Linked DNA regions of Rhinolophus ferrumequinum. The protein of the gene in region 2 interacts with the protein of the main gene of each other region in a pairwise test. Links are inferred from orthologs where the notes say so. Each region holds a gene or a part of one and is shown on either strand. Other genes may lie near its edges.

Region 1 (7,984 bases), on a different chromosome or scaffold from region 2:
CAACAATGCCAAGGGTGAGAAATCCCGGTCAGAGAAGAGGCATTTTCTCCACCCCCTCCCCCACATTCACTGCGGGTCCGAGTCCACACTTCCTTTACCCTCCGATACTTGCTCATTTCAATGCCCACCTGGTGACATTTGGTGGAGGTTCCTAGCTCTACACTCCATCAAACTCAACGGCCTTCCTCGTCTCACTATGTCTGCAGCTAGGACTTCAGCTCTAGGGGGCACCGCTGCAAAGGGACCAGGAGTCCCACACACACAGCCGGTGATTCATGGGCCATGTTCTGACTGTATTTGAAGGAAAATAACTGAAACATTATTTGTGTATTTGCACAAACACTGATGTGTAGCAGAGCAGACCATAAACACCATCAAACGGAAAGAGGAACCTTAAAAAATGGGAAGGGGAGAGGCCTGGTGGGCAAGAAATACTGACCTCTGCCTCCAGGCTCCGCAGACCTGCAGCTTCTCAGTTCCCTCACCTGCCAGTTGGGGAAGGCACAAGAAGAAGGCCAGAGCCACTGACCAAGGTCCTGGGACAGGTCAGGGTCCTGGGGCACATACTTGGGCAGCCTGACTGACCAGTTCACTCTGGCTCTGCCACTCATTCACTGACCCCCTCCCTGGGGGAGCCTTAGAGCACTACTAGCTGAGTGAGAACTGGGACCTCCAAAATTCTAGATTCTGTAGTGCTAACAGACAGGCCAAACGTTCCCAGGCATTTGCATCAATAAAATTATAACTTTTTTGGACCAGTGAGCAAGGATCCAAAGAAAACTACAATCTATTACCACTATCATTTCACAGAAAAGCTTTTTAACACCAAAAGCAAAAGTAAAAGAGCAAATTTCAGAATAAAGACCAGTCCTGGCCAAAAAACGACGGTAAGCAACTTAGTTCACTAACAAACATACGGTAATTCCATGCTACAGATGCGTACAAACACACCGGCTTTCACTCTGCCTGGGCCTTGTCGGGGCTCCCAGAGCAACAGGAAGCCATGTCCGACAGAGGACACCAGCTAGAAAGGCTCCAGCAGCACACGTGGCGTGGACAGAAAAGGAGGACCACAGCAGAGACATCAGGGCCGCCTACACAGCGGTCCTTGGCAAGGCTGCAGACCCCACCCCAGCCCTGCACGGACCCAGTGAGCCTTGCCGCACTGGAACTGACCACAACTCTCTAGAACTGGAAGTGGTTCAGGAGACCTGACCCCTTACAACTGTGTCTACACTGAGCACTGCCAAGAACTTGGAACAAAGTGAAATAAAACTAGAATCAGAGTAAAACTGTAAAAATCATGGCAGAGTAAAACTGTAAAAATCACCCCATGGCAGATGGAAGCCAAGATCTGCAAATGGCCCCCACAGTCTGAGACCATGACATACCCAGTCCTTCGCTCACGGCCATGGCTTTCCCGCCAGGCTGACCAAGGACCGGTGTTTACAACACAGCCTTCCCATGTGTTACCCCTTCAGGGGAACCAGCAGCTGGCTGGAAAATCAGTGCTCGTGCTCTCAGGCAGTCTGGGTTTCCCCCAATTAAATGAATGAAGCGGCTTCCGATCCTATCGTTAGCGTCTGAGCTCATGAATGTGACTGCCACACCGAGCACCAGACCCACTCTGGGTGCTGATACACCAGACTTTTAAGTGGGACAGTTCAGGGCCAGACAACGGCTTCCAACTACCTTCCCAAACTGTGAATCCCCACATTAGAGATCTGGGGAACAGCCAGCTGGCCTCCAGGCTGAGGAAACACTGGCCCGCCTCAGCTACAGGAAGTCCTCACTGCGTGTCATCCACAGGTTCTGAGACTGAGCAAAATGACATGTAATGAAACCAGCTTTACCACAAGCTAATTGATATAAACAAAAGTTCCTGCGACATTTCATCAATGTCACCACAAAACGACATTATTCGAGGACCTGCCGTGAATGGAACTTGAACCAGCCTATCTAAGGTCAGGACTCTTTACCGAGAGGCCCCTATTACAGCACGTGGCACTCACCTAAACTATGTGGAACTTGAACAGGTCCTACCTAAGGGTAAGCATCTTTACTTATGAGACCCCAGTGCCAACATTTAGAGAACCCTATACCGACACACGGCACTCACCTGCACCACACAGAACTTGAACAGGCCCCCCCCTGAGGACAGGTATCTTCGTCCAGAGCCCCCACCCCGACACACGGCACTCACCTGGATACTCTGCTGGTACTGCATCTGCAGAGAACCTTGGGCAGAGGTGGAAACATCCAGTCCAACTCCTCCTTCCACTCGCTGGGAAATGAAGTTGTTCAAAGATCTCAGGGAGGACAGGACAGTGGTGTTTTCCCCCAGGTCTTCCATGGCCACGTCCCTTGTGGAAGAAGAGAAGGGAGAGGTCACAGCAAGCCTTTCTGTACAACTTCAGCTCTGCCAGCGGCCCAGAGACACCCCCCGCCCCAACGCTCTCTCAGAGCCTTTAAAACAGTCCAGTGTCCGTAAGCACATTCTTCAGGGTTATCTGGGAGCCCACACTGCTGATGTGCCAGAGGAAATGGAGGCATAAAAAGGCAACCCGCCACGCCACTGACTGTCAGTGATGACCTGCACACCAGCAGGACAGACAGACAGCTCCCAGGAGACGGTGGTCAGCAGTCAGGCGGTACATCTCCCACTAAGCACTCACAAAAAGCTAGCTTCTGGGACTCGGAAACAACGCGCCCAACACTGGCAATAAGGCTGATGGTGAGCACAGCAATGCTAACTAGCTGCTAACAATGACGTTAATAAATTACTGCTATTTTCACCCGTTTACCAATAAAAAGGTGTCTGACACGTACAGGGCAGCAAGACTCCTCAAGCCTGTTTCCTCATCTGTAACTGAGGTCATGAAACCCACGTTTGCAAGTAGTTGTGAAGATTACAGTGTCTGTAGGAAGTCTTCAAGTGGCAGACGGTGCAACTATTGACACCGTTTGACTGTCATTCTGCTTGTAGTCTGACATACGACAGCTCAATCTTCACCACAGGTGGACGAATTAGGTCTTTTTGCACGTATTTTAGAGATGATATAACACAAGGCTTCGAAACGTTCCAGAACTGAGTTTGGAACCTGGGTCTGTGGCTCCAAAGGTGGAGTGTGCTCCACAGCCAACGCGTAGAGGGCTGAGGACAAGCACCAGCAAACGACCTGCACCCCCAAACCTGAGCTTATGATGGCCTCACACCAGCCTGTCCACAGCCCTGCCTGATGGAGGAGGGGGGCTCCCAGGCACAGCCCAAAGGTGTGAATTCCTACAGGTGATGACTTTTTTTCTCTCCGGAAAAGCTGGCTCTGATTCCCCGAGTATTCCGTGGAAAACACCTCCCTCCCAAAAAAGACAGGTGAGGCATGTCAGTTTGATTCTGAATTTCCCATTTCACGAGCGCCTGGCCTGGCACGCAGCGCCCGCGCCTCCTCCCTGCACATCGCACCTGTTCTCTCCACCGCTCTTCCTACCACAGCGGAGAACGACCGCAACAGGGGGCACGGGGGCCGTCCGAGTGCGGGCGCCCGCAGGGGCAGGCCTGCCCGGCGCGGGCGGGCGGCAGAGCCGTGCCCCGCGGAGCCCACACTCCGGCCGGCCGGGAGCCCCATTAGGCCAGGGCCACGCTTCCCGCGCAGAGGGGACGAAATGCGGCCAGTCTGTCCTCTCCGCACGACGCGCCATCCCGTGAGAGCCGCGCAGGCAGCACTGGGGTGAACCGCGCACGCTGTCAACCGCCGCGGCTCGGGCTAAGGCGGCAGCTCCCACTCGGTCCTCGGGACCCCGAGCCTCCGACCTTCCGGCCCCCCCACCACTGCATCTCACCTGCTCCCCGCAGGCCCCGCCACCCCACGGCCGGGCCCTGCGCCGCCCGACACGTCCCCCGCTCGCGCCAGCGGCCTCTGCCTCGGACGACGCGCAAGCTGCCGCTCCGCCGGGGCGCGGGCGCGGGGCGGGTGACTCCCCGCCCTCCACGGGCACGGGCAGGAGGCCGCCCGGCCCGGAGGACGCGCAGGGGAGGCTGCGGCGCGGCTCTCCCGGGAAGCGCGGCTCCGGGAGGCCGCCGGCCGCCTCGGCCCCGGCAGCTGAGCCCCCGACCGTGGCTGCCTGCCCCGCGCCCTCTCCGGCCCCGCCGACACCGGCCACGCCGGCTGCTCCTTCCCGCAGAGGAAGCCCGGGGGCCGCAGGGACGCCGAGAGAAGCGGGGCTCGGGACGACGGAGCGGGAAGGCCGCACGGGCACAGGCCGAGGGCGCGGACGGCAGACGCGGGGCGGCGGGGACGCCGACGGGGCGCCGGCTCCGGACCCGGCCGGGGCGAGGGCGCAGGGGGCGGCGCCCAGCCTGACCTCGGCCCGCAGCCCAGCGCCGGTCCCGGCGCTCGGGGCCGCCCCGCACCACAACGCCCACCCCCGGCGCGGCCCCGCCCGGCTCCCGGGCGCCCACCCGGGCCCGGCCCCTCACCTCGCCTCGCCTCGCCTCGCCTCACCTCACCGGCCCCGTCAGCGCGCGGCCGCCGTCGCCGCTCGGATCTCCCTCCTCTCCTCGCGTTCCCGCGCACCGCGAGACGTGAGGCTGAGCTCTCGCGAGACCTGGGCGCGGCTGGCCGTAATGCTCCGGGGCTGCGCACCGGCCGGTCCTGCAGGCTCCGCGGAGGCTCCCAGATCCGCGCGCCGCCGGGGAACCCGGGTCCGAGAGGGCTCGGAACCCAGGGCCGGCCCACGGGGCCAGCGGGCTGCCCCAGCTCCACGCAGGACAGGCTTCCAGTAGGGCGGCTGCCTCGCGCCGTATTCTGTAGAATAGCACCGCCCAGGGTCCTCGTAGGGCCAAACTTTTGTCCAGGCTTGGCTAGTCCCAAAATCTTGCTAGCACAGTATTTACTTGAATGAATGCGTTCTTTCACTTGTATCTGGAACCACTGGGAAAAGCAAACTGCTATGCTCCTAGACTGCCCTCCCACGTCGAGGCGCGGGCTCCCGTCTAGGTCCCCTTTGTCCGGGGCACAGGCAGCCGACGGCCAGTGGCCCCTCCTGGAATGACTGCAACCTCGGTCTGTCCGGGAGCACGTATCCCGCCCGGTTTTTGAATTCCATCCCCTCCTCCTGCCCATCCCGGGCTACGGACTACGTGCCCAGCGTCTTCACTGAATTCCCTTCTTCCAGAAGACAAAACAAATTTGTGTGGCCGGAATCAATGGGATGGGGAGAGCTTGTGGTGCTGGTAGAACAGTGTTCCCTGGACTTAAGTAGCTGGCTGCAATCGAAAATGAAAAACAAAAAAACTGCTGCCTGCAGCCAGGCAGCTGGACCAAGCTGGGACCCTGATGGAAACTCCTGGGCATCCTTTCCCCCACTGCTCCTTGGGATTCAATCAGCATCATAGTTGATAAACTCTACTAGAGGGATGAGCACACCTCCAGGAAACGGCTATGAAGAAACCAGAAATTAAAAAAAAAAAACTAAAAGCATGGAAATCCCTTAAGATAATACAATCTATATTCTTTTATGAAGCTGTACAGAGTTCCTGGAAGAGTAAAAGAAAATAAATCAACACCACATCGCTGCTTGCTTTGGCAATTACTTTTACTGTCTAGGGAGCCTGGAGTAGTACAGCAACGTGTATTTCCAGCAAAAATGAAAGCGCACCCGCCCCACGCATAAATTCATACCGAATGTCTGCCCTAATTGCTCTGGGAATTCTTGCTGCTTAACAAACTGATGTGTTTCCAGATCATTCACTAGAGAGATGGAAATTAATCCCCAGATTGAAATTTCAGGTTTTTCCGCATAATACTGTATAGCCAAACAACAACTGGAAACCTGTGTTGTGCTCTCAGAGCAATGGTGGAAACCTGCTTCTCTGTAATTAGCTAAGTCTGTAAGATGAGCAAGTAACGTGAAGGTGTTCATGTCTATCTTCAGCTCTGCCTCAGCACAATCATTTTTATCCTTCCCTCAGTCTGTTTTTTATCGTCTGTCATGGCCACTGAATATAGTCTGTCCTATGTTTTTGTTTTCCAAAAGGTCCCCCACTTATCCTGCCTGCTGCATCCCAGATCTAGCTCGGACCTCGCCCCACCCCACATTTGCCACATTTCAGGAAAGCGCACAGCCTACATATGCAGCGAAAAGGACCAGAAATGGCAGAAGAAACCTCAGTTCTTCACAGACCCCTTTGCTCTCCGGTATTGTGTGGCCAAGAGGTATACCTCTGATGATTCTTTCCTGCTGGCCTCTGGTTTCACAGTCCTCGTGTTCTGGAATTCCTCTGTCAGTCTCCTCTGTAAGCGATGGCTCTGACTTCCAGCCCAGGTTTTACAAAGGAGTGTTCCCCCAGGGAGCAGGATGTCTGGGACCATGTCCAGGAGGGACAAGCACAGGCCAATGATCCTGTCGTGATCAAGGCCCCGGATCCCTGTGGCATTGGGTGCCATGTCACTCAGAATCACATCTGCTCTCCCACCAGGAAGCAGTTCTTGGATTCTCTGGAAGGTTCCCGGGTCAGTCACATTAGCAGGGCACAAAAACGTTGCTCCTTCCAGGGGTGATATGTGAAGAAGATCTACCCCAAGCACAAAGCCAACAGGAGCGCTGGCCTCTAAGGAAGGAATGGTGAGTGCATTATTTATTTACACCCTGAATCTTCCCACAAAAATACATGGAACAAAGTAATAAAGTCAGGACCAAGGAAAAGAGCTAATGTGCAAATATGTGGACACGGATCTTTTCCCACTTTCTATACATCCTACAAAAATACATGGTGGGAGCCGGCCTGGTGGCTCAGGCGGTTAGAGTTCCATGCTCCTAACTCCGAAGGCTGCTGGTTCGATTCCCACATGGGCCAGTGGGCTCTCAACCACAAGGTTGCCAGTTCAATTCCTGGAGTCCCACAAGGGATGGTGGGCCCTGCCCCCCTGCAACTAAGATTGAACACGGCCCCTTGAGCTGAGCTGCCACTAAGCTCCCAGATGGCTCAGTTGGTTGGAGCGCGTCCTCTCAACCACAAGGTTGCCGGTTCGACTCCCACAAGGGATGGTGGGCTGCGCCCCCTGCAACTAACAACAGTAACTGGAGCTGAGCTGCGCCCTCCACAACTAAGATTGAAAGGACAACAACTCGACTTGGAAAAAAAGTCCTGGAGTACACACTGTTCCCTCAATAAAGTCCTGTTCCCCTTCCCCAATAAAATCTTTAAAAAAAAAAAAACGCATGGTGGAGGAATGATGGTCCTTCACTCCCCAGGGCCAGAGAGGCAAAGTGACTGCCCCAGAGCGGAAGGCAGACCTGGGGCCACACCACAGGACTCCACTCCAACTCTGATTTCATTTCACTCCCCGAGGCTGCTCTCCCTAAGGGTTCTTATCTCTGAGTGCATTTCTTGATAAACTAAAACAGAAAATGACACACTAGTATATCAAGTGCCTCTGGACTAAATCAACAAATCCATTCTGCAGCTTAATCCAATTTCTTTACATGTAGAAACTGCTAGAAACAAGCCGGGGGGGGGGGGGGGAGGGGAGATGCAACATAAGGTCCAAACATTGCTACCTTGCCCGTATTTGAGTAACAACAGTTGTGAGATTCAAGGTCACCGTTGCACCTAAAGCAACTTGCTGCCTGCACGACTGCTGTCCCCAGACTCCACCTCCCCTCCTCTCAGGCGGCACCCATATTCAAGACCTCAGTCTTCACAGGCCCTGGCACCCACTCTCTGCGTCGCTTCCCTGCACTGAGGGCTTTGCTCTGCTGATACCCCTCAGGGTTGATAAGGGTACAGTCATAGATTTGCTAGTTCAGTCTGTTTAGTAAAAAGGCTGCTCCACTGGGGGAGGAGGGAAATGTGTGTTTTATTTCTATCTAAAGATTAGAAGTCTAGGTATTTTGCAGAGCACATTTTCCAAAGGTGCAAACCCTCCATTCTCAGCCCTGTTCAGTGGGACATCTGACATCTCACTCAGGTACTTATACCCTC
Region 2 (7,585 bases):
TTTACTTCCTGTCTGGCTCCTCAGTGTTGGTGTTTATCTTTCTTTTCAGTTTCCTGAGGCAATTCACTTATTCTAATAAGCAATGATTCCCAAATTTCGTCTCCATCTTCTTACCTTTCTCTGTAACCTAAGATTCTTATTTCCAATATTTCCTTGACATCTCCAAGTAAATGTCTCCCAAGCTTTTTCATATCCTAACTGGTAATATTTTTTAAGTTCTCATACACTATTTCTTTAAATAAAATTTTCTCAAGTAGGTGCTTTGATTAGTTTTAGTACATACGTACTGATGAACTATCAGTTGACTCGTTTTTTTCATGCTTCTGTTTCTTATTCTTTTTTTTCTTCTCTTTCTTTACTTTTTTTGAACGCTTGTCTTTTTTCTTCTTTTTCTTCATAGAGTTTTCCTATAAATAATCATTTTGAAGAGGTAAGAATTACCTTCTTCAAAACTAAGAAAGGAATTTAGTTTTATCTTACTTTAAAAGGAAATATGTTAAGAGAAAAAAAATCTGTTCCAAAAATATTTAATTTTTTTATGAATTAAGACAAGAAATATGACTACATGAACAAAATCTTCTAAGAAAACTTAACATGCTTCTATAATACACGCACTACTAATAAATCATAGAGCTGAGATATCTTATCCAAAAATATGAGGGAAGTTTTCATTTATTTGTAGATTCACTTGACAAACAGATATAATCAAATAAAAACATATATACACAAACTTATGTGTGTATGCATTTATATGTATATATCTTCTATGGCCCCAAAAGAATTTATAGAAGATTATTGGGACATTTAAAATATAACAAGATAGCATAAATTAAAATTACGGAAAGAGAAAACAAGAATTGAGACAAGAAGAAAAACGAAAAACCCACATGACATTAAGCTTGAAACGCATACATTTTTAGACCCATAAGCTTACAAGTGGGCCAGAAACTCTACCAGCCAACTCAAGTAACAAAATCTACCCAAAGTCACAATATCCAAAATATTAAAATATATTATTTCTGCCAAAGAGATAAAACTATTCTGTAATGCCCACTATGTGATATTCATTCTGTAACTTGAAAACCGTCTATAAAGTTGCTCCTCCAAGATTAACTTGCAAGATTAAATGCAGAAACAGTCCGACGTGTTTACATCAAGTAGACCTGACAGTATTCACCTGTGAGAATTGTTCAATCCGCTCATTCACATCAGGTAACATCCATGTATCCTCACCTCGAAGTCGTTTAAGTTCTTTACGTCTTTCTTCCTTTTCAAAATTAGCTTTAGCCTAAAATATTGAAAAAAGAAAAATTAACAATTGATCCAACTGCGTTTCACAAAAAAGTAAAACAAAATCTCCCACTTTCATACATGTTCTCATGAATCAACAGTCTGTCTCTTACCAGTAATTTTTTCCTACGCTTCTACCAAAGTGTAGGAAAGATTTTCAAAAATACAAAAAAACAAACAAAAGACCCTCTCCTTGCCCATTACGAATCTCTAGTGAATAGAGCCACCAATCAAGGACAGAATCTTGGGACCTATTCTAGACCCTCCCCTTTCCTTAAGATTCCAATCTCAAGTATGACTTGAAACTCTTTTCCCTTCACCATCCCAGTGCTACCGCCTGAGACATTTTTAATTGTTAGGAGAATGACCACCATACCCCATACATTCCATCAGCAATGCCCATAACTCTCTACTCACTCCCCAAAAATGCTTCAGGAAAAATCATCTTTCTAAAAACAAAATGATCATATTGCGAATTTTTATTCATCCTTCAACAATATTCAAATAAAGTTCTTCCTAAAAGGTTGTTCCTGCTTTTTCATTCTCTTCCCAAACTCGAAAGCTGGGCTTGGTCCTTCTCAAACTCTATGCTTATCTCTATTATAAAATTTATCACAGCTTACAAAACCTACTGCCTCCAAACACTGCCTGAAATATCAGAGAGACAAAAATAAAAAATATTTGTTACACATATGTTTCATATGCTGAAATCAAAAAACAATACTGACCTTTCACCTGTCTAAGATTAATCACCCACTCGCTCTTCCCCTTTAAAATCTGGCTGTAGTCATTACATCTTCTCCTTCCTGTCTCCTTTACCTGCTACTTCCCATCTGCATTTAAACTCGTTTAAACTCTTCCATCTTAAAACAAATAAAAACAAAAACTCTCACTTACACTTTATGATGCTCTCTGCTTCATTTTTCCCTTCATTGCCACACTTCCTACATTTTGTCAGATAATTCCATAGTTTACTTCCTCCATTCTTTATAAGTTACCTCTCTGCATCTCAATCTTAATGAGAAATAGTTTGTCAGTCTTTTTCAAGGGGTGCAATTTCCTGGGTCTGTTGTGTCAACCCTTGTTTGGGTCGGTAAGGGTTTACAATAAGCCAGGAACTGATACCCATAGTACAAAAGGAGAATGAAACGGTCAAACGCAATTTACTCCAATGCGCCTTACATGTGTTCCTGAAAACGAACATTTTCATTTCACAAACAGCAGGAGTAAGGGCTGGGGCTGGGACATACGCTGGGGAGACTCATTAGTTGCGTAGTCCCTCGAAAGTGCGCAGCCCAGGTGATAGAAATGTCAACGCATTATGTAAAAAGTTAATGAAACTCAGAGGAAAGAAACAGGTCTTCCTGAAAAGAAAATGAGCAATTGGAGCCTGCCAGAGCATCTAAGAGGGAGAAGATACTCAAAAATTTGCAGGCATCCCACAGGGAGACCGCCCCCCCCGTTTCGACCCAGATAAGGTGAGATACTGATGGAGAGAGAAGAAAAGGGGTAGGGAGGAAGGAGAGCCAGAGGCCTAGCTCCCAGGAAACAGCCACAATTCTAAATGGTTCCCAAAACCCCAAAACGGAGTTACCTGGCGCAACACCTCGGCCCTGGCTATCCGTGTCTGCTCTTTACGCTCTTGGATACTCCTCTCACTTTCAAACCGACCACTGGCAGCCGCCATAGTTGTTGATGTCGTAAAAGTAGGAAACCATCACGAAGTCTTAGTTTACGACTGTCGTAATTAATAAACAAACCGGACTTCCGACTAGGGAGAGAACCGGCGCAGTTCCACCAAGAGAGCATGCGCGGATCTGGTTCCTGTGGTTACTCCAACGCCAGGTTTTAGAGACTTGAAGATTAAAGTGAGGAGTTGTCCTTCTTCGTATATTGGGATCGCCCTGAGCAGGATTAATGTCGCTATACATTTATTATGCGCTTTGCACGATAATAGCATTCTCAGCTATTTCCTCTTAAAATCCCCGGAGTAAGTTAGAAGCTCATACAGGTTAAGTTCGTACATCTCAAAAGTTTTCCACCAAAGGGCCCTTCTAACCAAAGAATTTCCCTGTGCTGGAGGAATGAACTGACGGGAGGCTGGCCGGAAAGGTAGTCGGAAGGGCAAAATTGCTTTGAAGATTCGGTGGTTTGCTTTGGTGGATTTTTTTTCCCAGTATATGAAACAGTCATGTGAGTGTTGTACTGTACTCCATAATTTATCGGTACTTATTTAAGCTGTTAATAAATGTTACATTTTTATTTAATCTCGTATTATTTGCTCAGATCCATCCAATCATTTTTCATGACAGTGTGCAATTACCTATTTGTGTGATTTTTATTGTTTTATGTTTGTATCTTCCAAACTTTAAGTTCCATGAAGACATTCTGAAGTACTGTTCAAGGGTTTTGAGAATACAACACACTGAATTCACACTTATAATCAAAGATAAAGAAGGCCGGAGAGTAAATATAAACTAGATACCTTAAAGACATTAAAAATAGTATAAACCAGATTAAATAAATATGCTTTCTTTCCAGGTTTTGTAAACTTAAATTTGTGTTTGCACGAAGCTTTCCCAGGAGTTTCTGCTTTACCAATCTGTAAAAATCTTGACCTTGAGCATGTAATGTTTACTTGTTTGATATGTAAAATAGAATATACACATTGTATTTTTGTTACAGAAAAGTGAATTTTAATTTACAAATTGACCTTGAAATATTTAACCCCTTAATTATACCTTGACTGATTTTTTTTATTACTAACTAAAATAACATTAAAAGTCTTTTCAGATTCTTTTGGGGAAAAACGTCTCCCCCACCCCACATCAATTATGTGGCAAATAAGAACAAATAGTATTTATAGTAGAAACATGCAAAATTATGACAAAAACTTTTAAATCCTACTTGAGGCACAAAAGAAGACTAGAACAAATGAAAAGGTATATCATGTGCTTCAAGAAGGCTCAACATCATAAAACAGATGTCCATAAGTGAATTTGTAAATACAGGGCAAGACCAATAAAACGACCAACAAAAAAAATGTTGGGATCAGGAAGGGGAAGTAGATAGGTTGATATAGAAAAACAAGGGAAAAGGAAGTTGTTTTGATTAGTTTGCATTTGGCCACATCTGATACTAGACATCCATGATTTAATTAAACAAGGGAAAATGTAGTACAGAGCATGAAGCTATGGTGAAATTGCTGAAGAAATCAGGTTGTTTCTCCTTTTCTGCTTTGTAACACTTAATCTGTGACTTAAGTTCTTCACAATCACAAGGAATGCATTGCATTCCTCCATATCTATGCATAGCATCTATAAGATGTAAGAATAAAAGGGTAGAACAAAGGGCAAAAAGTGTATGCCAGCTTAGTCTACCCCTTTTTAAGAAAATTTATGACTTTTCCTAAAGCCTAGTCCAGTTTCTTCCATTTAAATCTTGTGAACCAGAAATAGGTCACGTGAACACAACTCACTATAAAAGAGTCATGAAGATTCCAGGACAGATGTTATAGAATGACACTCAACGTGGGTTTGCCTGAGGTTTCTTTGTGGTTGGACTCAGGTTAGGCATTTCGAGCAGAACTATTAAGAAGTGTGACTATTCTCATTGCGTCCTATCAAGTAACACACAATTTCCATTTGTTCCATTTCCAGTGATGCTAACTCTGAACATTTCAATAAAGTGTTGTCTGCCAAACTTCACTGCAAAGTTACTCCTTTTCCCTTTGTAATTAACAAGTATTTTGGGGGTCAGTTCTTAAAGCTATGCAAATTCCTCATCAAACTTTCAAATTATTCATTTTATATCAGTCTGGACTCATGATTTGTTTTATTCAATAGATTCATATTTTTATTCGGAGGGATAATACATTAACAATATTTATTTTCTCAAATTGTCCCAGATTTGACTGTGCTTTATTTAAATTTCCTTAGCCTTTTTTACCTAATGTCCTTTTCCTGTTCCAGTATCCCACCCAGTTAATCACATTACACTTAGTCATCATCTCTCCTTAGGCTCCTCAGGCCTTCGACAGTTGCTCAAACTTTTCTTGTTTTGATGACCTTTGCAATTTTAAGGATGATTGGTCAGGTATTTTTGTAGAATGCACCTGAGTTAGGATTTTTCTCATGATTATCATTGAGGATGTTAATCTTGATTACCTGGCTGAGGTCGTACTTGTCAGGTTTCTGCACTGTAAAGTTGCTCTTTTTTTCCCTCCCTTTCCATACTGTAGTCTTTGGAAGAAAGTCACTATGTGACTCTAACATGTAAGGAGTAGGGGTTTATGTTGCACCTTCTTCAGCATGGAGTATCTACATCAATTATTTCAAATTTTTCTGCATAGGAAATTTGTCTCTTATCCCCCATTTATTTAGTTATGCAATTATTTATTTATCAATATGGACTCGTGGATATTTATTTTACACTTTTGGTTAAAATCCAATGCTATTTTATTTTCTTATTCAAATTGTTCCACCTCTGGCCATTGGGAGCTCTTTCGGTTGGCCCTCATCATTATAGGGTTTAATTTTGTTTTAGCACTTCCTTACTGTCTGGCGTGACAAGATGCTCCAGACACATCTTGTGTATTTCCTGTCTCAGTTCTAGAATCAATCATTTCTCCAAAAAGCTCTGGTGCCTTTTCTTGGAGAATGGTATTAGAAACTAAGATACGCAAACTGTGCTCAGTGCTACTGGAGTGTTATTCCTTCTAGGCCCCTTAACTGACAAAGATGAATATGTTTATATTCCAACCCATGTGTGTACACATTTCTGTTTGACCGTCTGTATCTATACTAAGATACATGAGTTCATACTGATATTACCCATTCTATTGCCACATAGATCATTCTAGCCTCCTCTTGCCTATCTGTAAATTCCCATTCCAGCAATGAGAAACCAGGCTCCCACAGTCCTCCATCCGTTTAATTATTCAGCTCAAGTTTATCAATTAAATTACAGTGCTTATATATAGTTTTATTTTAGTCTTACAGACTTCACTCATTTCCAAAATTACTTATGTCAGCACCTTTTCCCCCACCCCCTTCAATGAAGTTGTTTCCTACATTTGAAACACATTCTTTTGTGTTGTTCTGCATTTCATTCTTGAATCCCCACACCTCCTATAGAATTTTTTTAAATGTTGCAAACATTAAGGTTCACTTTGGTGCTGTATACTTCTATAGGTTTTGACAAATGCCAATGTTGTGTATCCACCAGTAGAATATCACAACAAATAGTTTCACCACCCTGAAATATCCCATGTTTCACCTATTCAACCTTCCTACTTTCCCTCAAACAATTGGCCATCACTGCTCTTTTTACTGTTTCCGTAGTTTTACTTTTTCTAGAATGTCATATAATTGGGATCATACAGTATGTAGCCTTTATAGACTGGCTTCTTTTACTGAGCAATATGAATTTAAGGTTCATCCATGTGTTTCTGTGTCTTGATAGCTTTTTTTTCAATCACTGAATAGCATTCCACTGTATGGATGTACCATCATTTATCTATCCAGTCACCTATTAAAAGACATCTTGGTTGCTTACAGTTTGGGGTAGTTATAAATAAATCTACAACGAGGTCAGAAAACTAAGTTTGCAAACTCATCCTAGAAAAAGTGCTGCATACCTCATTGCTGAATATCACTACTGTCACCTTCTAAGTACTCCCCTTGGGAAGCTATGCACTAACACCAGTGCCTAGTCCACCCTTCAAAGCAATTTTGGAACTCTTTCTCTGGAATGGCCATCAGAGCTGTGGCTGTAACACACTTGATGTCCTGAATGTCATCAAAATATCTTCCTTTCAACATTTCCTTTATCTTCGGGTAAAGAAAGAGGTCATTGGGGGCCATATCAGGTGAGTAGGGAGGGTGTTCCAATACAGTTATTCGTTTGCTGGCTAAAAACTCCCTCACAGACAGTGCCGTGTGAGCTGGTGCATTGTCGTGATGCAAGAGCCATGAACTGTTGGCAAAAAGTTCAGGTCATCTAGCTTTTTCACGCAGCCTTTTCAACACTTCCAAATAATAACTTTGGTTAACTGTTTGTCCAGTTGGTACAAATTCATAATAAATAATCCCTCTGATATAAAAAAAAAGGTTAGCAACACTTACAACAAGTTCGTGAACTTAATTGTCAGGTCTTGTATAAACATTCACATACAAGGTTTTGTGTAGACACAAGTTTTCAAATCAGTTGGGTAAATGCCTAGGAATGTAATTGTTGAATCGTATGGTAAAAACTATGTTCAGCTTGGAAGAAACTGCAAACCTGTATTCTGAAG
Region 3 (7,351 bases), on a different chromosome or scaffold from region 2:
AAGAGTGTGTTGTCCCTCATGCAGAACTGGGCAGCAGCCTCATTGATGGTCAGCTGTGGACAAAACCGCCAGAGCAGTCAGAATCCTAACTCCCCACTGCCTGTCCAGATGTCCTCACAATCCTTCACCATCAGACAAATGAGGCCCACCCGTCAGATGCTTGCTTGGGTTTTGACACTATGCCGATTTCTGAGGAAGACAGAGGTCAGCACCCACAGCTTTTTAGGGGCCTGGAGCCTCCTTCACTCTTGTGTGGTCCTGAGCAGATAGGACAGGTAGGCTCTGCTTCCCCTCACTTGAGGAGGAAAGCATTGCAAGAGCTGGGGTTGGAGTGGGAGAGAAGGGGTCAGGGGCGGGGGTCCTGGTCAAGGGGTAATGAAACAGACTTGGGAGTGTGCAGATTCTCAGAGGTGAGTAGGTTGAGGCCTGGCAGCCAAGAGCAATCCTGGGAGGCTGGGGTCCTCACCTCATGCAGGCTGAGCTGCTTGCCCTCCCGCCGCTTAGAGTCAAAGCGGCCATAGATAATGCTGTATTTGCGGATCTCCTCCTCCTTCTGGCTGTCGTTATCATCCATCTCAAAGATATGACCCACACTCCGCGCCAGCTTCTTGTTCAGCTTCAGAAGGGAAGTCACCTCCCCAGAATCCCCCCTTGGGAAGCTCCGGAAGATTCTCTCCACACTCTCCACCACCATGCGGACCATCTCTGGCTCCAGTCTATCCGGACCACTCCCAGACCCAGTTGCTGCCAAACCCCCAGCCCCGTTCCCCTCAGGGACTCCTCCTGCTGCAGGTGGGGAGAAGGAGGGTGAGCCAGCCTCCTCTTCTCCTCCCACCCCAACATCAGACTCTGGAGTGCTCCGGCCTGGCCAGATTCGGGCATCCCCAGTCCCAGGTCCCCCAGGCAGTGGTGACAGCTTCTCTCCAAGTTCAAGGGGGCTCTTTGGGCTAAAACTGCGAGCACTGCCCGCCTTTTCCCCTGGGCTGCCATGCCCATTGCTCATGCTCCCTTTCCGGGTGCCTGCAGTCTCTGATATCTTGAAGAGCGGAATACTGGAGACTGGCACAGCAGGCACTGGCTGACTGAAGAGCCCTGGATTGGTGGCCCACTCTCTCAGTGCCTTCTGCAGGCGTCGGACATGGAGGGGCTTGGTGGCCATGCCCACAAGTGCCATGATTTCCAGGAACTCCTCCTCACCCGCCTCGCACAGTTGCTGCACGTCGTCCCCTCCCTGCTGGATGAAGGTCTCATAGTAGGAAAGAAGATTGGCGCGCTGCAGGACCCGGTACAGCTGCAGCTCCCCCAGTGTCCGAGGAAGTGCCATGGCTCGGGCACTAGGCCTGAGGAGGAGGAGCACAAGAGATAGAGGGGGGCAGTCAGTCCTCCTACTGGGTACCAACCCACACTCACAATTGTCTTCTTTCCTGCCTGCTCCTCTTCCTCTCTTTTGAATGCCCTTTCTGCCCAGTGCCCAGACTATGAGAATCAGGCACTGTTCAGAGGCACAGACACGCCAGTGCCATCCCAACTGACCAGAAGTACCAAAAGCCAGCCCAGTCTCTGCAGAAGTCAAAGTCTCTTAGCCTCTATCCACAGCTTTTACCTTTCTGGCCTGGGCAAGGAGACCTTGAGCACTGAGGCGAGTCAGCACACCCCAGGATGGCTAGTTCTTCTCCAGAACATGGTCCTCACCTTCCATTCTAAATACCAGTAGGTCTGCCCATTACTTGGTGATATCTCACACTGAGGTGAATGTAGGACACCCCCTTCCCATCCTCCCCATAGGGGATACCTTGGACCATTGCTGGCCAGCTTCACTCCCTAGTGGCATCCTGCCCATGTGCCTGAGAGGGGTGTGGCCCCTTAGCTGTCCTTTCCCATTCTGTGAGCCCGGTGGACCTCTGCTCTCCTCGCTACCCTCAGCTTTTTCCACCAGTTAGGCATTCTTAGCACACTCTTGCTCTCTCCTTCCAGGACCTCCCCTCTGCTCAGTGCCACCCCTTCCCCCTCTAGCCCCTCTCGCAGCAGTGACCTTCCCCAACTGCTCTGTAGGTAGGCCTGTCCCTTCAACTCAGGCAGGGGGGAGGGGAGGAGTGCCTCAATTGTTCTTCTCTGGGCCTGTTCCGCCCACACAAACTCCTACAGTGGTAGCGTCTGCAGGCGAAAACCGCCGGGGGGCTCCCGCCTACCCTCTCCCTTATTTTCCACCCACATCTCAAGTGGAGTGGGGGAGCGGCTCAAGTCCTCGTGAGGGAGGGGCTGCACGCCGAAACTCCCCTCCCCACACTGTAAATAAAGGTACAGAAAATCCGAAAGGACGCCTAGGGTATCCCCTGCTTCTCCACAGCCCCGTTGATACTCTCTTGGATCAAAAGCGCCGGCTTCTGCCGGATCCCTGGGCTCGCGTGCCCCATGCCAAAGACAGGCTGAGCCAGCGGAGCGGCCCTCCCCCGACAATGCTACCAGCTAGAGTTCCAAGGCTTCCCCTGGCGCTTGGGGGCCCCCACGTTCTTTGCAGGGGGCTCACATGCCAGGTCATGCCCATAGAGTAAACGGGGGATGAATTAGATACTGTTCTTTCACATCCAGCTTCATCAAATCTCCTGCCTGCTCCCAGAGCCCCCTAATTTGAAGACTCACCCCCTTTTCCATCAGTCTCCACCCCCCACCTCCGTCCCGCTTCCCCTCGTCCTCTCAGCGACCTCCGCCCTCCGGACCCCTTTCCGAGTCCAGCTCCACCCATCTCCACTCCCCGCCGCTTCCCTTTGCCCACTAACTTGAGTCTGGGCTGCGGAGTCCGGCGGGCGCTGTCCCCTCCGCCAGGCGGCTGCTCGGCTGTGGGGGAGGGCGCTCTGTGCATGGACGGCCGGAGACCACCGGGGCTACCACTCTTGATGCCCGGCGCTCGGCGCCTGGTGCGCGCTGCGCTCTTCCCGGCGCGCGAGGCCGTGTCCGCCGCGGTCCGGGCTCCGTCCCTCCCTCCACGTCTCCTCTCTCCAAGCCTCCGCGACTCTGTCTGTGCCTCTGCCCCCCCACTCCCCGGTTGCGCTTGCCGCCTCTCCGCGCCTCCGCCCCCGCAGGACGCACGGGGAGCGAGGCCCCGCGCGGTGCTGGCTGCTGGGCGGGCGGAGGGCGTGGGTAGAGATGGGGGCGGAGGCCGGGGGCGGGGGGCGGGCGCCCGGGCCTCTCCGAGGGCCTCGGAGACACCGCGACGGAGAGGAGAGGCGGAGACTGGGGGGGAGGGGGTGTACAGCAGGAGGCGGGGGCGGGGATTCGGAGCCGGGGCGCCGAGGTGGGACTAGGGTGACCGAGGCCGGGATAGGGAAGGCGGGTTTGGGGACCTAGCGGGAGGGGTGAGGTCGCTCCATGCCACCCACGCCGGATGCACAGCCGGCCCTCTTCTCGCCCACTTACCCACGTGAGCACCCAGGAGGCGACATTCCTCCCCCCTCCGCGCGGAGAGCGGAGTTTCTCAACCACGCACAGGTACACAAAGACACAGAGAAACGCACGGACGTACACACGCGCCTAAACAACTACGCGGACGCCCACTGCCCACACTCAGGACTCGCGGTGGTGGACGTGTGAATGTTAGGGGTGAGCCGAGCAAAGTTGGCGGAGTTTCAGGGTGCGCGGCTCCTCTCGTGCATGCATCTGATTCCCATAGTGTGTGCATTTGTGGCAGTTCTGTGCGATTGGGGCTTTGCAGGAATCTCTTAGGTATCCCAGCGCTCTTCTCCGGCCAGGAAAGGAGTAATTTGAAGAGACCACTTTGGGAAACCCAGGCCTTCCCCATCCCTGCCTCTAGTTCAAGCTGAAGTTCGGGGAACAGGAATGGGCGGGTTATGCTAGAACCTACCACTTAGACGCGTTCATTAGACGCGTAGGGTTTTGTTAGCGCATAGGTCAGGCAGGGAGGGGAGGGATACCCCGCCTTCGTCTACTATTCGTACCCTATTTGCCGAGGATGGGAACCTGGTCCTGGGGAATCCTGTGTGGCAAAGCTGGGATATGGAGAATACCCCTTCTGGGGGGACGTCTATTAGGGAACTTCGCTCGAGAGTCTAGTGGAGAGTCTAGTGGAGGCTGGGCAGGAGGCCGGGAGCCGATGGCGCGGCTCCCTACGGAGGAGCTGGAGGGAGGAGCTCCTTCAAGGATCCTAGCCCCTTCCACAACCCACCATCCCTCCCCCCTTTGTTTCTTCTAGCCCCATCTGGTTCCCATTACACTCCCGCCCACGGCTGGGAGGACTGGGTTGGGGACAGGCGGGGGTTCTGAGGGCCTGGCCCTGCGGCTCTAGGCCCAGAGGAAACGATGGCTGGGGGAAGGGGGAGGGAGACTGGAAGCGAACAGACTGGCCAGAGGCAAGGTTCCCTCGGTCTGAAGCCTCAACTCCGCCCCATCATTCCGCAGTTCTGAGTGGCCCGGGCCCGGCAGGGCGTGGGCGGCGTGTGCGGAGGCTGGTTCTACATTCCGGCCTGGCGAGGGGACCTTTCGGTCTCCGCTGGGGGCAGAAGAGGAGGGGTACATCACTGGAGGGATTTCAGTAGCTAAAATTCTCTTTCCCGCCCCATTAAGCCCCAACCCAGTGTGGGGTGATAGGACAAAGCTGAGTCCCTCCCTATCCCCTATCCCGCGACTGGGGGGCACGGCTAGACAGGCTCCTTGGGGGGGTACTCTCCGACCCCCTGTGTTCTGTGTGGGCGCCCTTCCCCCATCCCCCTCTGGTTATTTTGGAGTCTGGGCTGCCAGTCGCTGGCCGCGGGTTTCCACGTGCCTCCTCCCTCCCCCTGCCCACGCTCCCCGTGACGCACATCCTCCGCCCACGCAGCCTCTGCTGAGGCGCCCCCCTCCCTCCCACTTGGCCCTCTTGGGGCGGTGCTGAGCCCCCGTATCCTGAGGGAGACGCTGGACTGAGGAAGAGGGCAGTTACCCACTGGGCGCCGGGCGCCTAGGTCCCACCCCAGGAAAGAAGACGAGGGAGGAGCCAATTCAGAGGCTTTCACTCCTCTGTCCTGGGGCGGGTACTCGGCCGAAGAGGGGAGAAAAATCCCGCCGACAGAACCTGCCATCTCCCCTAGGTGTCTGTCGGCGTAGGAACCTGTGTGTGAAACTCCTGGGCGTTTCTATCTTTGTTTCTCAGGGTTGTCAGGAGGTTCAAATGAGAGGACGTATGTGAAAACTCTGTAAATACATTGTAAAATGCTAAGCAAATTTAAGATATTATAGCCAGTTCGTACTTCTGTAGCCAGAGACTATGTATTTATTTGTATGTGTTTCTTTACATCCACTGTGTATCTGTGCCTCTGTCTAGGTTTGTATGTGAGCCCCTATGTGTGGATTTTAAAATGTATACATTTAAAAAATCATTGACTTGTCAAGCCCCACCAAAAGCCCAGAGCACCCCCGCAGCCAGGGCTGCTGAGATGTCTGTTCTTTGCTTCCCTCCCACTTCTACCACCCCCATCTTCCCTCCTACTCCCTTCCGTTGAGAACAAGGAATTTCCAGTCTTTAGCAAAAGGAGAGACACAGAGACAGAGAGGCTGAGACTATGAGAAACTATAGAAAAACATAAAGATAAGGGGTGGTGTGTGTGTGGAAGATGACAAAAAGTGGGTGGGACAAAGATCTTCATTTCTTCTCGTTTTCTGCGTGGGCTCCATTTTCTCCAGGGTGGCCCAGGACCACTTCCCTACTTGACTTATCTGCTCCCCCCACCTCAGAGTTCTCATAGGCACGCAGAGCTACGGATCCCCTTTAATGAAATGATTTATTGTCAATGAATAATTTATTAATAAATAATTGACTAATTTATTGTCTATAGTGGAAGAGTCCAGGATGGGAAACAGTATCCTCAGTCCCAATTTTCCAAGAAAAGGGGAAAAGACGGTGAAGAAATTGGGTGAAAGAGGAGTGAGGAAATCCCGAACCTGGCGGACTCTCATTCCCAGGGATGTGTACATTTTAATTAGCAGATTGCACGTCTAACCCGCATCCCCTCACCCCGCCCAATTTTTCACCAGGCTGAATCCAACTTACTTTGCAAGGTCTGGCTCAAATGTCACCTTCTTGGACCCTCTCCTTCCTGTACTCCCTCTGGGCAGAATTGCTCCCATCCCTCAGTGGCCTCATGGCTCTGTGTACACTCACTTATAGTTGCTTGTTTCACCCATAGCCCAAGACCTCTGCGGGGTAGCTCGGGTATCTGGTGGGCCCTCTGAAACAAACGGGTTGATGATGCTATTTCTAGGCCCGAGCAACTCTGAAAAGGGCAATTGACATAGATTTTACTCCAAAAGGAGCTGAACGTGGGCAAAACTGTTTAAGTGGAGACATTTGTTTTCCATGTCTCCATCCTTCTTAAAGTTTCCAGCAAGTCTCACAAGTCTGGTTCCTTGACCTTCTAAAATGTCCACTATTCTGGTAAATTAATTCATGCCCAGGTGTTAAAGGTAGAAGGCTGAAATCTTTGCTGATAATAGAAAAATATAAAGTAATGATCCTTTTTTCCTTTTTCAGTAACATATTAGAATTATAGTCTAAGGAGTGTTATCCTTCAATTTAGGCATCTTTGAGGAGGTGCTTCACTGTGCCTCAAAAAGACAAAGGAACTGCCTTTAAGGAGCGCATAGACTCGTAGGGGAGATGATAGACGGATAAACAACTACAATGTAATGCAATAATACGGGGTACAAACGGTGCCATAAGTATAGGAAGCCAGTGATCTATTCTGCCTGGAGTTGTGAGGGACAGGTTTTGACAGACATCTAAAGGAGATGATGCAGCCTGGGATTCTGAAGTCTGAACAGATTTCCAGAAGGAAGCCACAGTCAAGTCAGAGAGAGCAGAATGTAAACTTACCTGGAAGTATGAAACAATATGTTTGAGAAACTAGAAATTGTTAATTATTGCTGGATGGGTGGTGGTGGTACTTAAAAAGGAGCCCAGGGAGGTGTACGAGGCCATTAAGGATATTATAGACTAGGGCTTCTCAAACTATAGTAAAGGACCAATTTAAGAAATCCCCATCTATTGTCCACTACGTCTATAAAATACACAAAAAGTGAGTTAGTAGAAAAATGAAATAAAATCCCCATTTTTATTAGATTCAATAAATATAAAACTTTTCTGTCAAATTGCTATAAAAGTTTCTAAATGCTTACACTTAATTTCTGAAATTGTTTCATTGCAGATTGGTAACAAACTTTGAATAACATTGCTATAGTTGTGTCTTTACATCTACCTTTCAGATCATAGTAAGGACCCTGGGCTTCATCACAGGAGATACTGTAGAACCATAAAGACTTTGTAACATGGGAGTGACATATTCAGATCTGCATTTAGGAGTAG

What was found. The genes of interacting proteins can lie anywhere in the genome.
Region 1: the proteins of CWF19L2 (region 2) and MAD1L1 interact in binary tests that used the Homo sapiens proteins (3 or more experiments, as listed by UniProt). The two-hybrid records come from large-scale screens. The link is inferred for Rhinolophus ferrumequinum from reciprocal best matches to the Homo sapiens genes CWF19L2 and MAD1L1.
Region 3: the proteins of CWF19L2 (region 2) and NAB2 interact in binary tests that used the Homo sapiens proteins (3 or more experiments, as listed by UniProt). The two-hybrid records come from large-scale screens. The link is inferred for Rhinolophus ferrumequinum from reciprocal best matches to the Homo sapiens genes CWF19L2 and NAB2.

Annotation. Positions count from the first base shown.
Region 1 is NC_046307.1:43,474,501-43,482,484, reverse strand, and holds the start of MAD1L1 (mitotic spindle assembly checkpoint protein MAD1), read right to left. Parts: upstream 3,020-7,984; 5' UTR 2,880-3,019; coding exon 2,830-2,879; intron 2,364-2,829; coding exon 2,204-2,363; intron 1-2,203. Other genes in the region: MRM2 (rRNA methyltransferase 2, mitochondrial), read right to left, coding at 6,168-6,610. UniProt on the Homo sapiens protein: Component of the spindle-assembly checkpoint that prevents the onset of anaphase until all chromosomes are properly aligned at the metaphase plate.
Region 2 is NC_046294.1:76,275,376-76,282,960, forward strand, and holds the start of CWF19L2 (CWF19-like protein 2), read right to left. Parts: upstream 3,008-7,585; 5' UTR 2,978-3,007; coding exon 2,885-2,977; intron 1,289-2,884; coding exon 1,178-1,288; intron 408-1,177; coding exon 288-407; intron 1-287.
Region 3 is NC_046293.1:56,142,393-56,149,743, reverse strand, and holds the start of NAB2 (NGFI-A-binding protein 2), read right to left. Parts: upstream 3,020-7,351; 5' UTR 2,861-3,019; coding exon 2,778-2,860; intron 1,341-2,777; coding exon 467-1,340; intron 54-466; coding exon 1-53. UniProt on the Homo sapiens protein: Acts as a transcriptional repressor for zinc finger transcription factors EGR1 and EGR2. Isoform 2 lacks repression ability.